Ovis aries: one gene and its partner. Each later gene encodes a partner of the first gene's protein in a complex. Links are inferred from orthologs where the notes say so. Each region holds a gene or a part of one and is shown on either strand. Other genes may lie near its edges.

Region 1 (3,334 bases):
GTGACAATAATTGTAGTGGGGCTGGGCTCCTGCCACATTGATTCAAATACACAGAATCCTGTCCTGAGGGCTAGACGTCTCTCCCGACATGAGACTCAAGTTCTGAGACTCACCTTGTTTTTCCTTGTGTTTGCAGGTGGCATTGGAAGGCCTTCGGCCTACCATCCCACCAGGCATTTCCCCCCACGTTTGTAAACTCATGAAGATCTGCATGAATGAAGACCCTGCTAAGCGGCCCAAGTTTGACATGATCGTGCCTATCCTGGAGAAGATGCAGGACAAGTAGAGCTGGAAAGTCCTTATCTGAACTCCAGAGGTGTCAGGACACGGTTAGGGGAGTGCACCTCCCCAAAGCAGTAGGCCTCTGGTTGCCTCCCCTGCCACTAGTCATGGTACTACCCCAGCCATGGGGCCCATCCCCTGCCCCCATCCCTACCACTGTGGCCCCAAAAGGGAATGGGCTCAAAGCTTTGTCACTTGCCACACGGTGTCTCCCAGCATGGGAGGGATCAGCCCTGCCTGTCACAATAAAGTTTATTATGAAAACAGGCTGGTGTGGGGACAAGAGAACAGACAAGTACATTTAGACTGGGTGGCTCAGGTGAAGTAGTGCGGCTTCTTCACATTGATGCCATACTCGCTGAGGGCAGGGGTCAAGTCCTCCATGGTTAGAGTGTACTTGCGGTCCTGAGGGAAGAGGGAAGAGCACCAGCTGAACACAGGAATTCCAGATTTCAATCCCAGGCAGGTGACCCTGAGTAGGTCTTTCACCTCCCCTAAGGCTTAATTTCCCTCAAAGGGGTTTCAGGATAATTTAAGCCTCTGCTGCTGTAGGAAGTAATTACTGAATCAATGAGCCTCCCCTCACACCTTGCTCTTGCTTCGGGAGCTGCCAGAGGCTGTGCCCTTCATTTTGCAGTGCTGTAGGGCATCGTTGGCAATATCTGAGATGAATTTCTGGGCAGCTAGGGAGATGAGCCGAATTCTGGAGAGAAAAAAATGGTATGAGAAGAGCATAGACAATAAACTCCACACAAACACCCAACACTCTAACCTGCCCAGAGTTTACTCACATGCGTGGGTCGGAGGCCTCAAAGCCAGCACGGTTCAGGTAGTAACCAGTCACTGCATCAGGGATCTGAGAAATCAATTAGACGACTGTAAGCGTTAGCCCTGTGTACAGCGGGGCTGAGAGTCGGGGTAAGGGAAATGGAGGGCAGGCCTGGCTATCAGGAAGCTCCCAGTTTGGGTGGGCAGAAGGGAAAAATCACAAAAGCTAGGAAGAGAAACACAAGAGGATGCTGCAAATCCAGATGGTGTGGCAGAAGTTGGCGTGACAGCGAGTCATTAGCCTTGTTCAGGCAGGAAGCCCACCGTAGGCGTGTAATCCTCCAGCTGCATCAGGAAGTCCACTAGAGGCGTGCTGGACACCACTGGCTTCACCTCTCCGTTGGCCGCGCTTGGCAGCACGTAAACCCCGTTAGACATGGCCCCCTCCGGGGGCGCCGCGCCGCCGGTCGTCACTGGAGCTGGAGGAAAACCAGCAAACTGAGACACGGAGGTGGGAGGCTCGAGGGTTCCGCTAGGTGTGTCTTACCCTCTGCCCTCACCCGCCGCTGGGCCCAGCCCAAAGCGCGGCCCTCGCCCTCACCCGTCCCGGCCCTCACCCGCCCCGCGCCGCTCGGCAGGCTCCCCGGCCCGCGCCGCCACGGCTCCAGTGCCCCCTGCCGCGGCTCCAGCCCCAGGCCCCCCTGACGTCCCCGCGGGGCTGGCCTTGTTCTCCGCGGCGGTGCCGGCGGGCAGCGCGGCGGGGGCCGAGACCGCGGGCGCCGGGCCCGGGGCCGAGGCGGCGGAGGCCGGCGCCGCCTCGGGGTCCGCGCCGGAGCCGCTGCAGCTCATCGGGCCGGTGGGAGAGGCGGCGAACAGAGCCGCTTCCGCTTCCGTTCACCTTACGCACACACCAGGGGTGACGTCACGCGCCCCACGACTCGTTCCTCCCACGCCACGTTCGCTCCTCCCTTAGGCCTCCTTCCTTTATTCCCCGCCCATCCAGCCGCTACCTGACAAAGGCGGGAGGGCGGAGACCAAGTGTTGCGGAACTGGGCTGGCGCGGACATTTCGCGTCCGGACCCGCGGTTCTCCAGTGTGGATCCGCTGGGATGGGAACCCCTCAATGTCGAGGATTCTCTTCTATGGGCTTGAGGCCCCCTCACCCAGCCTGACGTCTAAAATTCTTGCTTTGATGCTCATCGCCCCGACACCTCTCTACTGTTGGTCGCCTGCGTGTCTGCATCTTTTCTAAGTTCCTTTATCCAGCCTTTTAAGGGTTTGTAGTGGAGTTGAATAGCCTCTTTCCCCGCCAGCTGCCCAAAGTGAAGGTAACCGGACAGCTGACACAGTGCTGCTGCAGATGGGGAGAGAGGTACAGTCCACCGTCCGTATAGGTGGTGAAGGGTTGGTAGGATTGGTTCCGGGACTCCCCCGACTCCCGTCCCCAACCCATGTATACCAAAATCCGTGGATGCTCAAGTCCGTTATATGAAATGGCATAGTATTTGCACTGTATACTCTATATAATCTCTAGATTGCTTATAATATCCAATGCGATGTGAATAGTTTACTGGTGCATGGTAAATTCAAGTTTCGTCTTTTATAATTGGAATTAAAAAATATATATATCTTCAGTTCACGGTTGGGTGAATCTGTGGATGGAGAACCCGAGGATACAGAGGGATGGCTGTCTTTCAGTCTTAATAAACAATTTATGTAAAATCACGGCTAGTGAAAGAGTGGGGTTTTCAACACAGCAAAAATTTATTTTTGTCAGTCCTGAGCTAGGGTCTGCAAATACAGAGTTAAGTAGGAGAAGGTTCTACTCCTCCGGGCACCAGTGGTCTTGCAAAGGGAGGCATTAACAGTTAAACTTGCCATTTCACCAATATATGGGAGTTAAAATACTGGAGGTAGACACAGGGTGTGCAGTGCAAGGGAGGAAGGGAACTAATAGTTGCTGCCTACATCTGTGTGTTAGGCATTCCATTAAGTTTATTCCACTTAATGATTTCCTGAATATTAGAGGCAGGTATCAATATCCTCACTTAACAGATGAGGAAAAAGTCTCCAAGAGTTGAACTTACTTCCCCCAGGCTCTCTCTAGTCTATATCAGAACCAAGAATCTAGGACTTTTCTGTCATACCCACATCAACTAGCTTCAGGGAGCCAAAAGATTCACAAGAGGTGAGCTGAGTTTTGAAAGAATTCTGGACCTCAGCCAGGCACAGGAAGCCAGGGGTAATGTTAGGGCACAGAATATCTTGAGCAACAGTGAATGAA
Region 2 (4,378 bases), on another chromosome or scaffold:
TAGCATGGAGTTCCAGAATCCCTATATCCAGTTTCCCCTTATGTTAACATCTTACACAACCAAAGACATTTATCAAAACTAAGAAACTAACACTGGTACAAGTACAGCACTTCTCAGATTGCACCAGTTTTCCCACTACTGTACTTTTTCTGTTCCAGGATCCCACACTAGTTGTCGTGTCTCCTTAGTTTCCTCTGTTCTGTAACAGTTCCTCAAACTTTCCTTGTCTTTTACAACCTTGACACTTCTGAAGAATACTGGTCAGTTATCTTGTAGCGTGTCCTTCAGCTTCGGTTTATCTGATGTGTCCTCATGATTAGGTTGTGCTTATGCATTACTAGAAGGGAATCAGAGTGATGATGGACCCCTTAATGCACCATATTAGGAGTACCTAATGTCAACATATATTACTGGTGATACTAACTTTGATCACCTGACTAAAGTAATGTCTGCCAGGACTGGATTCTCCACTATAAATTTAATATTTTCTCTTAAATATTTTGAGGAAAATACTGTCATTAACATTGTGATGGGGAGAATTCATCAGTAGGGAAACATACTTCACTGGAAAAGGAAAAACTTATTAGATAGGAAGTATGTAAACCGTATTTGGTTAAAGAGTCTGTAAAGACAAACAAATAGAGAAGTGAATGCTTTGAAATCTTGTGTTATATTAGCAAAAAATATTTTTAAAACAAAGAATGTCTAGAAGAACAGATCTTGGTCAAGATACATGAAAATTCAGGTAAGACAAAGAAACAGCTGTGAAGATTCCGAATTCTTGTCATCATAAAAATAAAGAAATCCAAGTGGAACAAAGGCTCTGGTAAGAAGTATGCTAGCATCACTATGCGATGCTCTGGTGCAGTAATCCTCTTATGCCTACCTAAGAAGTAACTGTGTTAGTCACTCAGTCGTGTCGACTCTTTGCGACCTCAAGGACTGTAGCCCGCCAGGCTTCTCTGTCCATGGAATTCTCCAGGGAAGAATACTGGAGTGGAGTGCCATTCCCTCCTCAAGAGGAACTTCCCAACCAAGGGATCGAACCCTGGTCTCTTGCCTCGCAGGCAGATTCTTCACTGTTTGAGCTACAGGGAAGTCTCCATAAGACGTAAAACCATATACGAATGGAGTAAATAACATCAGAAATGGAATAATGAGCAGTCAACTTTAGGTGAGAAATTGAGATATAGGAAAGGATTTGAATGGCTTAAAAAACCAAACTACTTGACTCTGTAGTTTCAAGAGCATTTAGGAACTGCTTATGTCGGAACTGGCATAAGTAAACCAAGTGTTCCATGTGTTGCCTGATCTACACTCAGCCATAACTATGTATAAAGGACCAGGACTGGAAGATGGAGAGCATGTTCTCATGGTGCCTTTCAGGGGCTGGCCTGAATCATCAGTAATAGAATCAGCTCCTCTTGCCACTGCCATAAAAGGTCAAACCCGTCTACTGAAGGAGGAGAATAGACCCAAAACTTTATGATCTCCATGTCACTGGACTGCCTCACATTGTTCACCATCTTCCTGCCTTGTCCATTGCCTTAGTTCAAAGTCCCAACTTAATTCCTACCCTCAGACCTGTTCAGGGTCCAACAGAACCTTCGGCTTACATTCAAAGGAGTCCCTGCTCCAACTGATGAAAGGTAAGGAACAGGTAAAGTAACGGAGGTACGTTCTTACTTGGGACCTGAATTGAAACACTGATCACATGTATTTACTTAAAAAATTTAAAAACGTATGTCTGTGTGAGCCCATATATACACACATATATATAAATATATAAATTGGGGTTAAATATATAAATTGGGGTTAGGATCATTACTATCTATGAATCACAGGTTAAACAGAATTTATACGGAAGTCTGAGAATAGTGTCCCTACAAGGAAACTATTAAAAAATCATTCTCAAGTACTACTTACATTCTTTAGAAAAAAGTCTCTTTCTTTTACCCTGTCCACCTTCTGCACCTCCTCCAATTTCTTCATTTTCTTCCTCAAACTGAAAGTTAAAACGTATAGATATGTCAAACACTGCTTCTGACATTTTAATAATTAGCTTTTTTTTTTTTTACATCTTCAACACCAGTATCATGCCAGAAAGCCTAAAGCAAGCAGCAAAAAACAATGAAACTTTAGCATTTTGGGGGCATTAAAACTATCTCGCCCAACTTCAGACTCACGCAGGAGTGGCTTCTACAATGCCCCGTTAGGCATCGTACTGCTTCTCCTGGGGGAGTTCCAACGACCATACATTCTTTTTTTAAACTAAGTTGGCCTATTTCTAGATAGTTTTACTATTAAAAGAGTTGATATTGAATGAAAGCAAGCAAAACTAGTATTTGTTAAGCATTTCCTACACAGTGCTAAGAACTTTCCTCAAGTAAACCTTAAGCCTATTTTATGACATGAAAACTGAGGCTCAATTACTTGCTCAGTGACTTGAGTCCATTATTTTTCCACTACTTTACAGTAAAGTGTACAGTTTTCTTAGCACTTGAATTGTTGTTGCATAATGAGCCCTAACAAACACTAGCTTTGCCCCCTGATGATTCTCTAGGTGATTCAAAGGGTATCTGGCAAATATGAACCAAAGGTAAAGGGCGGGGAGCCACCTACTCCTCCAGCCCCGCTTACTAAAAGGATGAATCAGAAGAAAAAGGCTAGCCCGGGGAGAAGTCCCCGATTCTCTCGGCAGAATCACTGAGGTAAAGAAACCCAATTCTCCACTATGCTTCCGCTACTGTGCTCGAGGTAGTAAATTAAAAAGTAGGTTGGAACAGAGGCGGTCACTCACGGTGGGATCCTCTTCTTCATCTGCCATCCCACCAGCCAGCCGCCTCCACTGCGCGCCCGCCTTCCTCGGAGAGCTTTTTACTACTTCCGCTGCCTCATTTCCGGTGACGAGAGGGGCCGGGGCGGGGCCTAGCGGAACCTCCCCTGTGGAAGAGGAACAAGCACCTCCCGCCCAGCGGTGAAACCTGAACAGCGAAGGATAAAGTCTTGGAAAGTAGGAATTAAACATTAGCATAGAAAAGGGATGAGCTAGATGGCGTGTATCTCGTTGTCACCTTGAGCTTTCTTCTGCGTATCAGATCTCCGCTTCCTGATTCGGTCCTGTGAAGCTTTGGATCATTGAGGGGCTAGACAGGGGTGAATTTAAACAATTTGAACAACTTAGAGTTCCACTATGATTTATTGCCAGGGCTTCCCTGGTGACTCAGATGGTAAAGAATCTGCTTTCAGTGGAAGACCTGGGTCCGATCTCTGTGTAGGGAAGATCCCTTGGAGAAGGAAATGGCAAACCACTACAGTATTCCTGCCTGGGAAATCCCAAGGACAAAGGAGCCTGGCGGGCTGCAGTCCAGTTCAGTTCAGTCGCTCAGTCGTGTCCGACTCTTTGCGACCCCATGAGCCAGAGCACGCCAGGCCTCCCTGTCCATCACTAACTCCCGGAGTTTACCCAAACTCATGTCCACTGAGTCGGTGATGCCATCCAGCCATCTCATCCTCTGTCGTACTCTTCTCCTGCCCTCAATCTTTCGCAGCATCAGGGTCTTTCCAAATGAGTCAGCCCTTCACATCAGGGGGCCAAAGTATTGGAGTTTCAGCTTCAACATCAGTCCTTCCAATGAACAGCCAGATCTCCCTAAGGATGGACTGATTGGATCTCCTTACAGTCCACGGGACTCTCAAGAGTCTTCTCCAACACCACAGTTCAAAATTATCAATTCTTTGGCGCTCAGCTTTCTTTATAGTCCAACTCTCACATCCATACACGACTACTGGAAAAACCATAGCTTTGACTAGACGAACCTTTGTTCACAAAGTTATGGCTCTGCTTTTTAATATGCTGTCTAGGTTGGTCATAACTTTCCTTCCAAGGAGTAAGCGTCTTTTAATTTCATGGCTGCAATCACCATCTGCAGTGATTTTGGGGCCCCCAAAAACAAAGTCAGCCACTGTTTCCACATCTATTTGCCATGAAGTGATGGGACCGGATGCCATGATCTTAGTTTTCTGAATGTTGAGCTTTAAGCCAACTTTTTCACTCTCCTCTTTCACTTTTATCAAGAGGCTCTTTAGTTCTTCACTTTCTGCCATAAGGGTGGTGTCATCTGCATATCTGAGGTTAGTGATTTTCTCCTAGCAATCTTGATTCCAGCTTGTGCTTCTTCCAGCCCAGCGTGTCTCATGATGTACTCTGCATATAAGTTAAATAAGCAGGATGACAATATTACAGCCTTGACGTACTCCTTTTCCTATTTGGAACCAGTCTGTTGTTCCATGTCCAGTTCTAACTGTCGCTTCCTGACCTGCATACAGGTTTCTCAAGAGGCAGGTCAGGTGGTCTGGTATTCCCATCTCTTTCAGA

The links. The genes of interacting proteins can lie anywhere in the genome.
Region 2: TAF10 (region 1) and TAF13 share a complex: the UniProt entries of both Homo sapiens proteins name them as parts of the TFIID basal transcription factor complex. The link is inferred for Ovis aries from reciprocal best matches to the Homo sapiens genes TAF10 and TAF13.

The regions. Positions count from the first base shown.
Region 1 is NC_056068.1:46,195,547-46,198,880, reverse strand, and holds TAF10 (transcription initiation factor TFIID subunit 10), read right to left. Parts: upstream 1,925-3,334; 5' UTR 1,900-1,924; coding exon 1,668-1,899; intron 1,530-1,667; coding exon 1,375-1,529; intron 1,139-1,374; coding exon 1,074-1,138; intron 986-1,073; coding exon 871-985; intron 688-870; coding exon 598-687; 3' UTR 517-597; downstream 1-516. Other genes in the region: ILK (integrin-linked protein kinase), read left to right, coding at 137-286. UniProt on the Homo sapiens protein: The TFIID basal transcription factor complex plays a major role in the initiation of RNA polymerase II (Pol II)-dependent transcription.
Region 2 is NC_056054.1:86,377,764-86,382,141, forward strand, and holds the start of TAF13 (transcription initiation factor TFIID subunit 13), read right to left. Parts: upstream 2,872-4,378; 5' UTR 2,828-2,871; coding exon 2,801-2,827; intron 2,006-2,800; coding exon 1,927-2,005; intron 1-1,926. UniProt on the Homo sapiens protein: The TFIID basal transcription factor complex plays a major role in the initiation of RNA polymerase II (Pol II)-dependent transcription.